Alligator mississippiensis: one gene and its partner. The protein of the gene in region 1 purifies or fractionates together with the protein of each later gene. This does not show direct contact. Links are inferred from orthologs where the notes say so. Each region holds a gene or a part of one and is shown on either strand. Other genes may lie near its edges. The genes, in order: REXO4 and RRS1.

What was found.
Region 2: the proteins of REXO4 (region 1) and RRS1 purify together in Homo sapiens (co-immunoprecipitation; 3 studies listed by BioGRID and IntAct, with this or other methods). This does not show direct contact. The link is inferred for Alligator mississippiensis from reciprocal best matches to the Homo sapiens genes REXO4 and RRS1.

The regions. Positions count from the first base shown.
Region 1 is NC_081835.1:60,923,617-60,931,034, forward strand, and holds the start of REXO4 (RNA exonuclease 4), read right to left. Parts: upstream 3,231-7,418; 5' UTR 3,216-3,230; coding exon 3,045-3,215; intron 2,753-3,044; coding exon 2,400-2,752; intron 1,780-2,399; coding exon 1,627-1,779; intron 1,381-1,626; coding exon 1,187-1,380; intron 680-1,186; coding exon 591-679; intron 42-590; coding exon 1-41. Other genes in the region: ADAMTS13 (A disintegrin and metalloproteinase with thrombospondin motifs 13), read left to right, coding at 4,746-4,820, 5,069-5,135, 6,050-6,333, 6,710-6,851, 7,080-7,219.
Region 2 is NC_081826.1:64,239,087-64,246,331, forward strand, and holds RRS1 (ribosome biogenesis regulatory protein homolog), read right to left. Parts: upstream 2,411-7,245; 5' UTR 2,349-2,410; coding exon 1,314-2,348; 3' UTR 640-1,313; downstream 1-639. UniProt on the Homo sapiens protein: Involved in ribosomal large subunit assembly. May regulate the localization of the 5S RNP/5S ribonucleoprotein particle to the nucleolus.

The DNA of each region.
Region 1 (7,418 bases):
GTGTCTCGAATTTTCTTCTTAGGATGGTCAAGAAACAGGATCTGAAAGAAAAATATTTGCTCTGTAAATAGGTTACTTTGTATGTTCAACTGCATTGCAGCTGGTCGTCCTTCCATCGGCAGAAAAGACAATTCACAATGGGAGCAATTCTGATCGAGAATATTCAAACAGGGGATGCATAACCTGGCAAAGATGGTGGCCATCTTCAATACAGACGCGCTTCCTATGGAGACTATACAAGGCGGTTGTGCACATTGCTCCTGCTTGAGCAAAGTGGAACGCTAGTCTCTGAATTAAAGACGCTGTGGGCCTTGCCTTACTGCAGCTCTTTGCAGGCAGTGCTACAGCTACTCCCAAATATGAAAATAATTTGATCAACCTGCTGTTTGTTTCTAGACTAGAAGGAAATATTGAACACCTGCTTTGTTACCTGTACAAATTGGACTGCTATACAATATGGTGTCCAGCACAGGTGGAATCTGGGTATTAAGATACTGCAACCTTAAGCTTAAAAATTTCTAATCTGTTTTCTTGGGTAACAAAAATCACTGAAGTTTTACCTTCAAAGCAACAACTATGGAGATGTGTACCTTTAAGTCATTGTGGACAGCATGTCCAACTAAAATCCTTCCTCTCAAGATGTCAGCCACCTCCTCCTGAATTTTTTTAAAGTCTTCTCCTGAAAATGCAACATAAAAAAATGGTTTCAACATGGACATTACACAGCAACTTAGCAAGTTGAGTGAGCATTAGAAGACCATCATGTGTGGAAGTCACTTTCTTAGGACCCAAGATGCAGAAGAATGCATGATTCTTGTACTTTGTCATCCCCTGCTTGTTCAGAGGAAGCAAAAACAGGAGACCAGGACAGATGCCTTGCAAAAAAGCTGAAACAGTCAACTTCCACTTGTTGGTCCAATGCTAGGCTTGCATTTAAGCAAGTGTTAGAAACTACTTTTTTTACTGGGGCAACAATGGCCTTTTGGGGCAAATTGCATCTTTACAGAATTTTTTATTCATTCTCCCCTGAAGTATTCTTTTATATTTAGAGATATTAAGGTTGTGCAAGTGCTTTATTTCTTGCTCAAAAAATAGAATTCAGCAGGCTCCTGATACACTGACAGTAACTCAGTAAGTTGCATAAGGTTTTTCTTAAGGATGTTCTGGGGAAGGCCAACCTACTTACCCTTCTTTGTGTCCTCAGGCCGTATCCCGCTAACTTCTGTCCTGTAATCGGTCACCTTTTCTGTAGGCTTGACATATTTGTCATAAACGCACTTTCCAAACTGGTTCACGATTGATACACGAGCCACAATGCTGTCTTCCCCCTGGGGCCCCACTCCTATCATTTCACAGTCCATGGCTACAGCTTTTGTGAGTCTAAAAGAAGAAAACGGACACGCAGATTAGAAAGCCCTTGCTGAGATTGCGTACTTCTGACTGCTACGCTGACAGGTGCGGCACCCGTTAATATAACCGGAAAAGTTAACACCACAGAGCAGCTATAGTCTCTGCAGACTCTGGAAGACACTGTGCATACTCTGTCCACAGCTGTAAGAATGGGAGTAAGTTTTTGATGCCTCCGATAAGACTGTTGGTACTTGTTGCATTAGAAATACAACCTACCCACTGAAAGCCTTTTCTTTAACCAGCACCTGTTCCACAGTTGGTTTGGACGTGCTTTCAAGTCCCATTTTTCTTCTAGCAACTTCTGCTGCTTCAGGTCCTATTGCTGCTTCAATATCCTCTGGATCAACCCCATCAAACCAGATGTCATCCCTGGTAAGCAAAAGGTAAAAAGGACCTTTTTAATACTGTTCGATTTGGCTGTTTACAGTTTGGGTAAGCTTGATGTTTACAAAAGAAAGGAGTTACCTAGTTAGTCCTAGTCAGAGCCAACTAGTTCAACAACCTGAGCATGCAGACTACAGTTTTGTTCAAACATTTGAATAACTGGGTTAATCAGAGTGGTTTTTACTTCTCTCTTATCCCAGGCTCCTCAGGGATACCTTGTCTTTGGACTTCTTCCCGTTCCTGTTATCCAGTCGAGCCTCCTGAGCTGTGCCTCCGCAGTCTAATGTCTAAATTCTGAATCTGAAGTCAAAAAGTCCCCAAAATAGTTGTTTGAACTGTAACCCCCCCCTACCTGAATGGGAAGGGAAAGGAAGAGAATGCAGTAACTTGGTAGTAGGAAAGGGGTCTGAAATACTTGGGTGGACGCATCATAAAGGAAAGAGGGTTTCCCCTCCTTAAGAAGCACAGCATTGTATTAGCATTGTATTAGGTTTTCCCTCCTCAAGAAGCACAGCATTGTATTATCCTTTATTTCAAGTTATTCAGCTGCCACTAAAACAGTTTAAAGCACCGACATAAATGGGCATAAGGTTTAAAGCACTCACTCCGTTGGCGGCTGTTCTGCGCGCTCGTCCGTTTTCCTCTTCTTATGCTTTATGTCCCCCTGCTTCGTCTCGCTATTGCCGGTTTTCCTTTTTGCCTTGAACTCTTTTCTGTTGCTCCGGGCATCGCCCAGGCTCTCGCCCGGCGCAGTTCTCTCCGATTTCACATTCGTCGGAGAAGCTCCCGCTTGGCCAGGACCACCCTCCGTCCGGTTTACAGGCTTGAATTTTACCGTGTTCCCGCTGCCATTGACGGCTGGAATCCCTTCGACGTCTTTCGTCGCGCGCCGCGGCTTGGGAGACGTTTCGGGGGCCGGGAGGGATTTCGCCAAGCCAGCCGCCTTCTGTTTCAGCACCTAAAGAAACACCCAACAATTAACCGGAGCGTTCGACTTTACCGTCGTCCTCCCACCTGAAATCCACCAAGCCCCGCTGACGGTTTTTGAAGTTAACTAGTTCTTAGCTTAAAAACTAGTTAGAATTAAAAAAGTTTCTGGTTTAAAACTGATGTGAATTACGAGATAAATAAATAACAGATAAATGAAATAACAAGATCTTGGGTTAAAACTCATTTGAATGTAAAAGTCCGTGGTTTTTCCGACGCTCGCTCGGTCTCACAGCAGGAGGGAGCCAGGCCCAGCCCCGCACCTCCTGCAGCGCCCGCCAGTTGGCGGAGAAGTCCCGCGCCGCCCTCGGGGGCAGCGCCAGCGCCAGCGCCAGCGCCGGCCTCGGAGCTCCCGCCGCGTCCCGCGCCCTCGGCCGGAACCACCGCCGCCGGGCCCGCCTCGGCGGCGCCCCGGCCTCGGCCCGGCCCGCCATGGCCCCGCGCGGCCGGAAGCAGCGGGAGGAGGACAGCACGCGACGCTGCCCCGCCCGGAAACCGGCCCCGATAGTCCCCCGGCCGGAAACGGCCCCCGGCAACTTCCGTTCCGGCTCTCGCGCATGCGCCGTGTGGCTCTGAGGGCGGGGAGGGGCTGGGTGGGGGAGGGGCAGCAGGGGTTGTAGTGCAAGGGGCTGTGTTGGGGCAGGATGCAAGGGGCTGCATTTTTGCAGGAAAGGGGTGCATTGGGGATGGAGGAGGCTGCAAGGGCTGCATTGGGGCTGCATTTTATAGGAGGGGGCTGCATTGGGGCCAAGTTAGGAGCACACTGGGCAGGTGGGCGAGTCAGTGCAGGCCCCAATAGGCCACCAGACGTGGGAGGCCGCAGCTGTGTGATTGTGAAGTGGGGCAGTCCAGTAGCGTTTTCCCCAGTGGCTCCCTAACTGTGGCCTTGTGAGCGCTTGCCGGCGGCGGGCAGGCGGCTGGCTGCTTGGGTGCTCCTTCCTGCTCCTCGGCAGTTGCCGCAGGTGCGCAAAGCTGCAAGCTAGGGTCTGTGCCAGCCAACGCTGACTGCTCTTCACGTGTCCGGTTCATTTCTGAGCGTACGCCGCTACGCACAAAACGTTAGCGATCCGACTGAGGACACATCTCGGGTGTTTCCTCGGATTTCTATCTCAAGTCTGGGGTAGTAAGAAGTCTAGAAACTCAGGGTAGAGCCCACGGTGCTGCCGGCGACGACTCGTGGTCGTTTTGAATGCCCGATGAGACCAGCACTGACGAAGTGAACTTGGCTTCGCAAAACCTTGTGCGCTCTCTGTCTCTAATGACGTAGTCTATAAAAGTGCATATCTTACCCTGCCGTGTGACTGACTTCGAGCTAACGTGGTGGACTACCTCTCTCAGCACATCCTGAGACACTGCCACTTTTATATCTTCATCCAAAGTTGTTCATTTTTACCAGTGGATCCACACACACAGTAACATTTGCAGTCAGCACAAAAGTCTGGCTGACGTGTTATTTTTAATTGCTGGGAATTGAGCGCGTACTAAATCAGTTAACTGAGCCTTAAGCGCAGCTCTTGCAAACTCGGCGAAGTTGTGTTTTGCTCTCCCTCTAGAATAGGGGTAAGTGAAAATTTTATCTGGGTGGGTGCTGCTGATCTGGCCCTTAGGAGCTGGAAAGGATCCTCTTCCCCAGATTTGATGCTCCAAAGCTGCTTTTCTTTTCCTGTGTTGCTTCTTTACTTGTTTACTTGGCTGTTAAAACTGGCCCTGGGTTTCCTAGTCTTACCGTGCTCTTTGGCTGTAGTAAAATTGCAAACATTGCGCAAAAGCTGTCTGTCTCTCTCCAGCTGTTCCTGCAAAGCCTCACAGCAGCTGAATAATCCCCTTGGCAGCTCCTCCCTGGAGAGGATCAGCTCTTGTATTTGTTTAAACTCTGTGTATTCCTAACTTCCGTTCCATGTGATGCCTCAGGCTAAACCTAAGGCCAGTATTTGCTCTGCGGTGTCAGCGTGAGCTCTTCCACAATGAGCACCCGCTTTATGATCTTAGCTTTTACTATGTTCCCCTTGGGCTTCGGCTGGCTATCTCCTTTCCAAGAGGTAAGTGTGACTCCTTCCCCCCTGCCCACCTCCCCCCAAAATAACATAATGTATGTTCAAACCAAAGCTATGAAACCTCACTAATCATTTCCTCTGGATGATCTGTGTGTTCCATAGGCTTAGTGCAAAAAAGCTGAATCAAAATGTAAAACATCTAAGTTAATAATTAGGTTTTGATAAATTAAAGTCATGTGTCTACATGGATTTTTTTTCCTTGAAAAGGCAAAGATTTTTTTTTCTTTTTGCAGAAATTTCTCAGGGCTTTGGATCCAGAAGATGTTTTTTCTTATTTTGGCACCAAGTCAGTTCTTGATGGTATGCAGGCCTACTTCTATCTTAATTCTGGATTGTATTGTATGTTTAAAATTGTTTCTAATATGGCATATTTGAAGAGCCTTGTATTAACATTAACCTAGATCTTATGATACTTTCAGTGTGAATGACCTTACTCATGTATGCAGTTCTGGCTCTAATGTGTAAATGTCTAAAGAATCGGGTCTCTTATTCAGTAGTCTGTAAAATGGGTCAGAAATTCCTTTTGATTATTCCATTTAACTCTGCTTTATGCTAACTTATTGTTTTAATGCAAAACTGGTAGAGTTATAGACTATAGATAACCCTAGGGACAGATCCAAATCATCTAGGTCCAAGTGTATGGACTGAGGATGGTTGTATTTATTTAGAAACATTTTGGAGACTAGAGTAATATTTTGAGATTAGGCTGATAATTCAAGACTAAGGAATTTAGCTTGTTGGATTCCAAGGGTAGGGACATTGTGTCTCTCTCTCTGTTTGCCCAGTACCCAGCATGCTGTTAGTATTTAAATGGTGATGATTTACTCTTAAGTAATGCCTGACAGCTGATAAACTCAAAAACATTGTGACCCTTGTCAAATAAACTGTTATCCCAGTTTTACAGAAGATGGGGAAACAAAGGCATGGTTACAAATCTCGAGTACAAGCAATCACTTTTAAAGCTGAATATAGACTTGAGACCTCCCCGGTGACTGCAAGTCTATGCTTCAGCAACATGATCGTCCTTAATTTTGGGGTAGATAGAAACACAAAAGACTCTGGCTGGTGACATTATTTAAGGGGTGGGTCACAAGCTCTCCGGAGAGGGCTGTTCTTCATGGAAGCAAATTGATGACATGTCTTTTCCCTTGTATGTCTGTTGTCACTGTGAACGGTTCCTGTAATTTTTTGGTCATTTCCTTTCTTTATTTCAGTACCTGAGTTCATTGTTGTTCAGCCTGCTTGCGCCTGTGAAGAAGACCAGGTTGGACTGACCGCTTGTAAAGTCCAACGCTGTTCCCTTCAGTCATGGGGACAGCTCTACACCTTTGAATTTCTAGAGGATCCTGATCTCCTTCTCCCTTCCTTTGTGAGCCATCGAGTGCTGAACACTTCTGTTAGCTTGCTAAAATGGTTCCCAGGCAACTGCTTTGCAGAGGGAAAACCACTGCATCCTTTGGGGGCTGTGTGTAGGGTCAGTTACTGCGAAGGACAGCTGGTGAGTATGTCGCATTGGCTGCAAGGGGATTCTCATCTGGGTAGGAGGGAGATTGAGCTAGAGGCTGAAATCCAAGCTTTTCCCAGTGTTCACAAGGTTTACAGTCCAGCACTGGGATTTGGGATCCGCTCAGCTCTTTAGTACAGCACTGTGAAGGTGCTTGAAAGAAGACCTACCATGTATCATTGCTGCTTTGAAGAGTTTACAGTTCAATGCAGTATATGTTGCCAGCTTTCAGACAGAAGAAAATATCAAGACTGGCAAATAAGTAAAGAAATAAGACATAAGAGAGTGCGGGAAGAGAGATTGTATGTGACTTGCTATTGGCATTGGAGGTCATTGGAATAACAGAGGGCTGGATCTTTGTCTCCTATAGCAAGGCATCATCATTGCAAGTGAAGAAAAGATTCACATCAGGCCTGTGAGAAGTAAACACTGGAGCCTGCTGAAGGACCTCAGCTTCTTCAAGCCCCACCTCATCTTCAGAACCACAGAGAGAGGGGCAAAGACAGCAAAAGGTATTGGCCGTGCTGGCCTTGACATAGGAACTGACAGTCTAATGCTGCCCCTGGGCACCTTGCATATGTTAAATTGCCCAGGGTAGCTTCCTCCTAGCACTTTGCAGATTCCTACCCGCACTGGTTTCAGTCTTGTGAATGACTTGTGCTCAGCAGAAGGGAATGGGCCCCCAGGAGCCCCCAGGTCTTCTTGCTACCTAAACTCCCCTTCGCTCTGTTGTGTTATAGAAAAAAAGTTTCATCCTCGCCATTGGAAAAGGTCTGAAGGGACTGTCAAGCACCTGGAGCTGCTGGTTGCAGCGGGCCCAGATGTGTACCAGTTCCATAGAGAAGACACTGAGAGGTATATCCTCACCAACCTGAACATTGTGAGTAGCTTGCTCTTTGTTTTCAGTGCACCATCTTAGGGCTCTGTGGTGTCATGGGTTCAGCGTAGCCTCTGGAGGGGCTTCTTGCTCGCCCTCCAGTCATGTGTAGCATAAGCTTCTGAAAACATTTGCACGGACATTTGTAGGGAGCACCCAGTGCTCTCTCGAGGAGGCTGGGTGGTGTGCAAAGCAGTTTCCT
Region 2 (7,245 bases), on another chromosome or scaffold:
CCCTTTTTCCTCCATGCTCAGCACCAGCTTGTTCCCTGCCAGCAAGCGCCAGGTCGGGGCTGTGCGCTACCCCCTGCCTGTACCACAGGGCTGAGTTGGGCACTGGGAGTGAGAGGGTGCAAGAGCCAGAGGGAGCAGGGGGCCTACACCAGGGCAGCAGGAGTATAGGGTCCTGGCTGGCAGGGGCTCTATGGAGCAGGGCCAGCTCCCCCCTCTCCCTGTCGGTGCAGCCCAGCCCAGCTCCACAGACCTCTACCAGCCTGCTCCCTGCCTGTAGTGGCCCTGAGACATTGGTCCCAAGATGGTGACCAGGGGGCAGGGCACCTGTCAAGGGGTGGGACTACCCCTGCGGCCTTCAACGGCTTGCCAAAACTGGGTAAGCGGCCCTCCACCCGAAATAATTGCCCAGCCCTGCTCTAGTACCAGTCATCTTCCCTTCTAACAGCAACTTCTGACTGTTCCAAGTTGCTGTTTTATCTACCCAATCTTAAATGTTAATTGTGCCACATTTTTAGTTAGATAATACCAGTTAGTACAGTATTAATGTTCTGAGACATGTTAACTCTCCCCAATGCACGTAGTCAATTCAATTAAATAAGCCAGAACTTTACTCACCTCATTTAAAAAAAACAAACCCCAAACCACAAAATCTTCATTTATTGCAACATCCTTCTCACAGTAGGGAGCAATTCTAGAAAGTGATTCCTCACAACCTTTGGTCTACATTTCAGCAGCACAGAAAGGAATTGCATACACACAGTGAACTTTTTCTTGTTCAGACCCATCTCTGCTTTTCTAGGCCATGAGAAAGAGACACTTTGGACCTGCAGTATTTTTATAGCTCTTACAATTTTAATAGAGGGCAGAACACAAAATAAACCAAACCCATCTGGGATAGCTTGGAGAAAAGATGAAGGGGTGACAGAGTTGGAGGAACATACTTAGGCTGCTTAGCAAAAAAGTAAGCTTGGAAACAGCCGCTGACTTTCAATGGCTCATTTAACACATGGAACAACCCTCTTTAAGTCCTTCCACAACGCAGTCCCAGAAACCCTCTCAAAAGCAAATGCCCATGTCTATTGTGCTGTTTGTAACCAGTCAGTCCTGCTAAAGCATCTCCAGCCTCTGAGCGCAGCCACAAGAAGACAAACGAGAATGGGGTCCTGTCATATAAATGGGGAGCAAGTCCTTCTGGCTCAGGCCTGTGCCCTGTCTCTTGGGGGGTACCCCAGCTCCACTCTGGGCTGGGAGAGATTGCCCTCCCCCAGACACACGAGGGTGGGGGGGAATCCCAGGCAGGGCCCAGGCCATGCTCAGCGCTTCCTCCTCTTGCCCCCAGCCGGGCGCTGCTGCTTCTGCTGCCCCCGGCGGCGCTGCTGGGGGGTGCCCCGCCCTCGTGCCCGTTTTCCACGCTCGCTGCGCTTGCGGCCCTTGGCGCGACTCGTTGATGCCACCTCGGCGTCCTCCTGGCGCAGCTGCTTGTTGGTGGCGCGCGCCACGTCCAGTGGTGGTGGCTTGGCCAGCGTGCGCACCAACTCCAGCTGCCGCCCGCGCTCGGCCGCCAGGTCCCCCAGCAGAGGTGCGAAGCGCCGCTTCTTCTTGCCGCTGCCAGCGCTGCGTGGCAGGGGCAGAGGCGACTCCCGGGGCAGGCGCGGCTGGAAGCGGCCGAGCGAGGCGGTGGAGGCACGGGCCAGGCAGGCGGCACGGCCCAGCTCCTGGCGGCCCTGGTGGCCAGTGGGGTGGAAGCTGCTGGCACGTGCCAGGTTGCGCAGGCGGCTGAACTCGTTGCGCGCCACGCGCTCGCGCTTCTCCCGCCGCTGCCGTCCCAGCTGGTCCTGGAGCGGGTCAGCCCCGGGCGGCACCTCGGCCAGCCACGCCCGCGCCGGGTCGCCGCCCGCCCGCCCGTAGCCCCAGCGCCGCCGCCAATCGCCGGCCGCCGCGTCCCACACAAGCGAGGGCCGCTTACGCCGTCGGATGCCCTTGAGTTGCGCGAAGCGCTCCCAGCGCGTGGGCGGCCGCGGGCGCGGCGGCGGCTTCTCGCGGGGCAGGCGGGTGGCGGGCGGCGGCAGCTCGGCCAGCAGAGGCCCCGCCGCCTCCCCCTCGGGCCGCCGCGCCGGCAGCGCCCACAGCTCGGCCGCCAGCAGCTGCGCGTTGTCCCGCGCCAGCGCCCGCAGTGCGGCCTCCCGCTGGGCGGCGGCGGCGGCGCGGGGTGGCGGGTTGCCGTCCCGCGCCAGCAGGTTGCCCAGGTCGAAGTCCAGCTCCAGCTCCTTGTGCACCACCAGGCTCCGCGCCGGCAGGGCCGCCGGCTCCACGCCCGCCAGCAGCTCCTCCGCGCGCGGGGCCGCCATGGCTCCACGTGCGAGTGGCCGGGAAAGGGCCGCTTCCGGGTCAAGGCACCGGATGAGTGTAAGCAGCGCGGGACTGCATTGCCCAGAATGCCCCGCGCGGAGCCCGGCGGCAGGGGGGCGGGCGGCGCGTTGCATGCTGGGGTTCGTAGTTCCTTCCCCCTCCCCGCGGTACTGCGGCACCCCTTGTAGCAGCGCCCTCCTCACCGCCCCCAGCGTTGGGCGCCAGGCCCTGTATAGCAGAAGCACCCCAGTGTTACCAGGCGTACGATAATGATCGGTTTTGTACAATCATTTCAGCCCTTGTGCAGTGTACAATCAGTAATAGTAAAAGTGTTCAAAATGTAGGACGATTATTGAGGCAACTAATTGATGCAGCATATGCACCAAGTCATGCTCAGGAAGTCTTAGCTGAGTCGGGGCTGCTGTCGACACTCTCTTCTGGCTGTTTGCCTTGAAAAAAAGAAATGTTTCAACTTTGATGATCCAGGTCTCTCTCACTCACAGCAGTTTAACAGTGAGCAATAGTAAGTAAAAAAGAAGAAGAGTTATTTGCATACTTATTTCATTATTTTTCAGTGTATGATAGTTTTTCAGAAAATACAATCATTTTGAGCTCCCAATACGATAATTTCATATTGAACACCTGGCAATGCTGAGGCACCTGCTGTTGTGGCCCTGCTGCCTGAGGGCCCCCTGCCCACCGCCCCTTAGTTCAGATTTTTTTTTTTCTCACCAAGCAGGTGCGGCTGTTGAGGCTGGGACAGCTCAGGTTTGTCCCTCTGGTCCATCTCGGGGTCCTGCTCCTGCACCAGTGAGCAGGGGATGGGGCAGCAGAGCCTGCGCACTACCACTTCCGCTGCCACTGCAATGCAAGGTGGTGGTGGTGAGGGGAGGCTTCTATGCTACCTTTGTAATCCTTAAGTCCCAGGGAAGCTACAGCAGAAATAGGAGCTGGGCGGGAAAAATTATGCCAGATGTGTGAAGGCGGGGCAGGAAAAGGAGAGACATCTTGGCCTAGGGCTTTCCGTACCCTGAAGAAAGACCTGCAACTTCCGTGAATGGGTTTGTGGCTGTAGGATCAGACTCTTAAGTCATCTCAAGACCCATCAAGGAGCCGTGGTAGAGATTATCTGCAAACTGAGGGACTTCTGTGGTCATGAAAAAGCCCAAAACAACCCCCTTCCCCTTCCACTTCTCCCTTCTTCTCCCTCCCCCCCCCCCCGAAGATTAAGACTTCAATTAAAAGAGGTGATACGTGTTAGGAGACATGTCAGTGAATTCTACTGGGAAAATACACGGACTATTCGTGTAGTTACCTCTCTCCCCCATGATATCGAAAGATGTCTAATGCCATTCAAAAGCAACACAGTTAAAACTGATAAGAAGGAAATATTTTTGTAACACAGCATGTAATTTAAGTTGTAGAACTCATCACCACAGAGCTTGGCAGCTTAGACCTGGTATATGTGATGAGGACGACTGTGGGCACCAGGTTGTTAGTATGATTAAATGTACTGGCCTTTCATAATGTTTTGAGAAAGGGAAGAAATCATTCTCATTTCACAGAGGAAAAGATTCTGTCTAATGTCGCATCTATAATGTTTATGTTGTTCTTAGGCAATTTCTTTTCCCGCTTATAAATCAAACAGTGGCTCTCAAGTTCTAAGATGTAGTGTTTCACATCTCCCGCATAAAACTATTTGGCATAATACCTCCATCATTATAACATCTGTAGTTATGATGGGGTGTTCTTTTAAAACAAAACAAACAACATATACCATCTGATGGTGACTCATAATATAGCATAAGAAATTGCCAAAGCATTTAAAAACAGATCAACCTGGCTAGATTATTTTCTCAGTTACCACAAGATGGTAGCATATTAGAAATTATTTAGTTCACTCTCTTGGACAACTGATGTGATCATCTAGAATTACAGATACCAGTGACTTTAAAGACAGTTCTGCTAATCTTTTACAAGACGGGACTTGAGACCATTATTTTAGAGACACATGAGAATTTTTTAGACTTTTGTGCTGCATAAGTAAATTCCATTGCTATCACATTCTCATGAATATTTTTTCATTATTTTCCTAAACTCTATATTGATAGAGAGTTAGGGATTGGAAGGGACCTCGGGAGGCCATCTAGTCCATCTCTTGTCATAGACTGCAATTTTTTGCAGGGCTGGGATTGTCTTTTTGTTCTGTATTTTTCTGAGTCTAGCCCAATGAGTTATCTGTCTATAGTTCAGCCTGGGTATTTTCTGTTATATTGATCTGGTAAAGTAGTAAATATTGGTCCTATTTCAGTTGCATACTCTTTCTGTCTTAGGCTGCACCAACAGCACAAGGAGCTATATACTCGTCTTAACAAAGCATATGGATGCTTTGTATCCCTAGACAGCCCAACAGCACAGAGCTCTGAGAGTGTGCTAGTGAATACCACTTGTGATTTTACATGCTAACAATACATCAATTTGAAAAAAGCAGAAATAAAAGGAGATCCTGAAGACAGTAACTCCAGTTTTGGCAACTCTTTTGGTTAGCAATTTATCTGGTATAATTGTTTTTATCTGCCCTATGATTTATATTGTGTGCTTTGTAGCTAAAGCCAAGGAACTGGTCCTGTGTGTTTATAAGCATGATTATACATGATTATACAGTAAAACACCAAGACTACTTGTGGCAACTTGTAGACATTTTAACAAGGGTTTTTCCTGCTTACAGAAATCACACCCTGAAAATTATATGGCACTTTGAAGTGGTAGCACAAATAGCTTTGAGAGTGTGTTGTAACTGTCTATTGAATAAATAACCCATGGTTTGATGGTGATATGCATTTTTTAAATTATCTGAAGATGCATTTACAGAATGGCTCTGAAAGAGCTGCTGCAATATTTGCAGCAGTCAATGTTTTAAAGGCGTTGGGTGAAATCCTGGGCTGATTGAAGACAATGTAAGTTTTGCTGTAGACTTCCATGGAGTCAGAATTTCACCCTGGGATGTACTGCTCAGTGATTTCTTACACACCTGTTCCATGTGTGTGGGAGCTAGCTATATCTACTTATTTTACTGTCAGAATCAAACTTTAGTACATTTAGCATTGAAGAACCCATGTAATGTAACTGAAGAGAACAAGCTTTATTCTACTCTGCTTCAAGTATCATCAGCAAAATTGCAGTTATTAACTCTAGAATCTTTATTGCTGCTGATTGTTAGTGTTGATGTATGATTCAGACAGGACAAAGTGTGACTTTGTGATATCAGGATGTGTGTGCAGTGATGGCAGCTGGAAGGATAATTGACTAGATTTGTAAACCAAACAGAATTTGAAAGCAGAAATCATTTGGGTCACAACAGAAAACAAAGAAAAGCCCGTGCGTGATTCCCTTTAAAGTGAATAGGAACCCATGCACTTCCAAGGGGCATGTTTAACCTATTAAAAAAAAGGAAAGGATAACCTTGGGGTTGAAGGATAGGAATATGAGTTCTAACCTTAGTTCCAGTTTTTCTGACAAACGTATGGACTTTTAGGCAGATTATATGGGGTCAGAATTTCAAATGTGCCTGCTAATTTTAGTTGCCTCATCTTTTGGGTGCCGAGTTTTTTAAACCTAGAGTATACTTTTTATAGATATAAGCACCCAGAGCTCCCACTGACTGTAGCCAGATTTGAGAGTGCTCAGCTCTTGTACAATAAGGACCAGTGTCTAAGGATGAGCTGGTGGTACTTAGAATTAATGAACAAAAACTTGGGCCTTAACTTTGGACCAGATATTTGGTTTTAATCTCTCTGTGCTTTAGTTTCTCAATCTCTGTAATGTGGATAATAATAATTACTTCACAGGTGCTTGTTGAGTTTCATTACTGTTTTAATTGTTCTGGGACATTCAGATAGTACTTAGATACTATGGAGATTCTACTGTATACATCTTTTTTTTTCAGCTCGCTACTATGATCTCCAGCCTTAATACAAAACCCTAAAATAGATACATAGAGGTGAGTGCCGTAGAAATGAAAAGTATCATACTAGTTTTAAAACACACCTTGTTATGCTAATATATTGCAGAGGTCTCCTAGGTACCCAACTCTACAGAAAGTTAATTGTAGTTGTACACCTCTTATGTCCCTTTATAAGCCCTAGCCTAATTTAATCCCAAAATTTATTTTTTGGCTTTAGGCACCAATGTGGAAATTCTTAACCTATGTGGGAATCTTTATGTTGAAATGCACATACCAATGAAAAATAAGTCATCCTGTTTTAGGGACTTCACTTGAAAGGCTGGTTCAGTATGGACATGATCTTTTAAGTTGCTGAGCAGCTGCCATAGTTTCAAAGGGAATTAAGGATGCTTTGCATCTCTGAAGAGGTATTCAGCTCCTTGCTGGGCTCCAGATGAGCTACAAGATTAAGACAGCAAAAAAAACCCTGTTTCTTTTTTTTCTGTCTCAAAGAAAAAGAAAAGAAATGGATTATTCAGCTTAATATTTTTTTTTTTGCTTTTCTTGGACTGGATAACAACTTTACGGTTTTATGCTGTGGGGTTTTTCTTGCGTTAATACATAATATTCATGTTCTCTCTTCTAGTGACAGATTTACTCTCCAAACTTTTGCCAATTACCTCTGGATGGCAGTAGATATAGTTGCAAGATGATTCAACCAGTTCTTAAGACTGCTGTGAGAATAGTTAACTATATGAATACTGTTGTCAGGAAAACTCAATGTGCCAGTAATTTTGTAAAATAGATGAAAAGGGGCCCTTAAAATACTTGCACTTTCTTCAAATTATTCCTTTTTACTGATACATAATTTTAATTTAGTACTCTTTGAAGTAAAAGCTTGCTTTTAAGCAGTCTTTTTTACAGAAATTACAAAGGTTATTTCCTCACAGAGA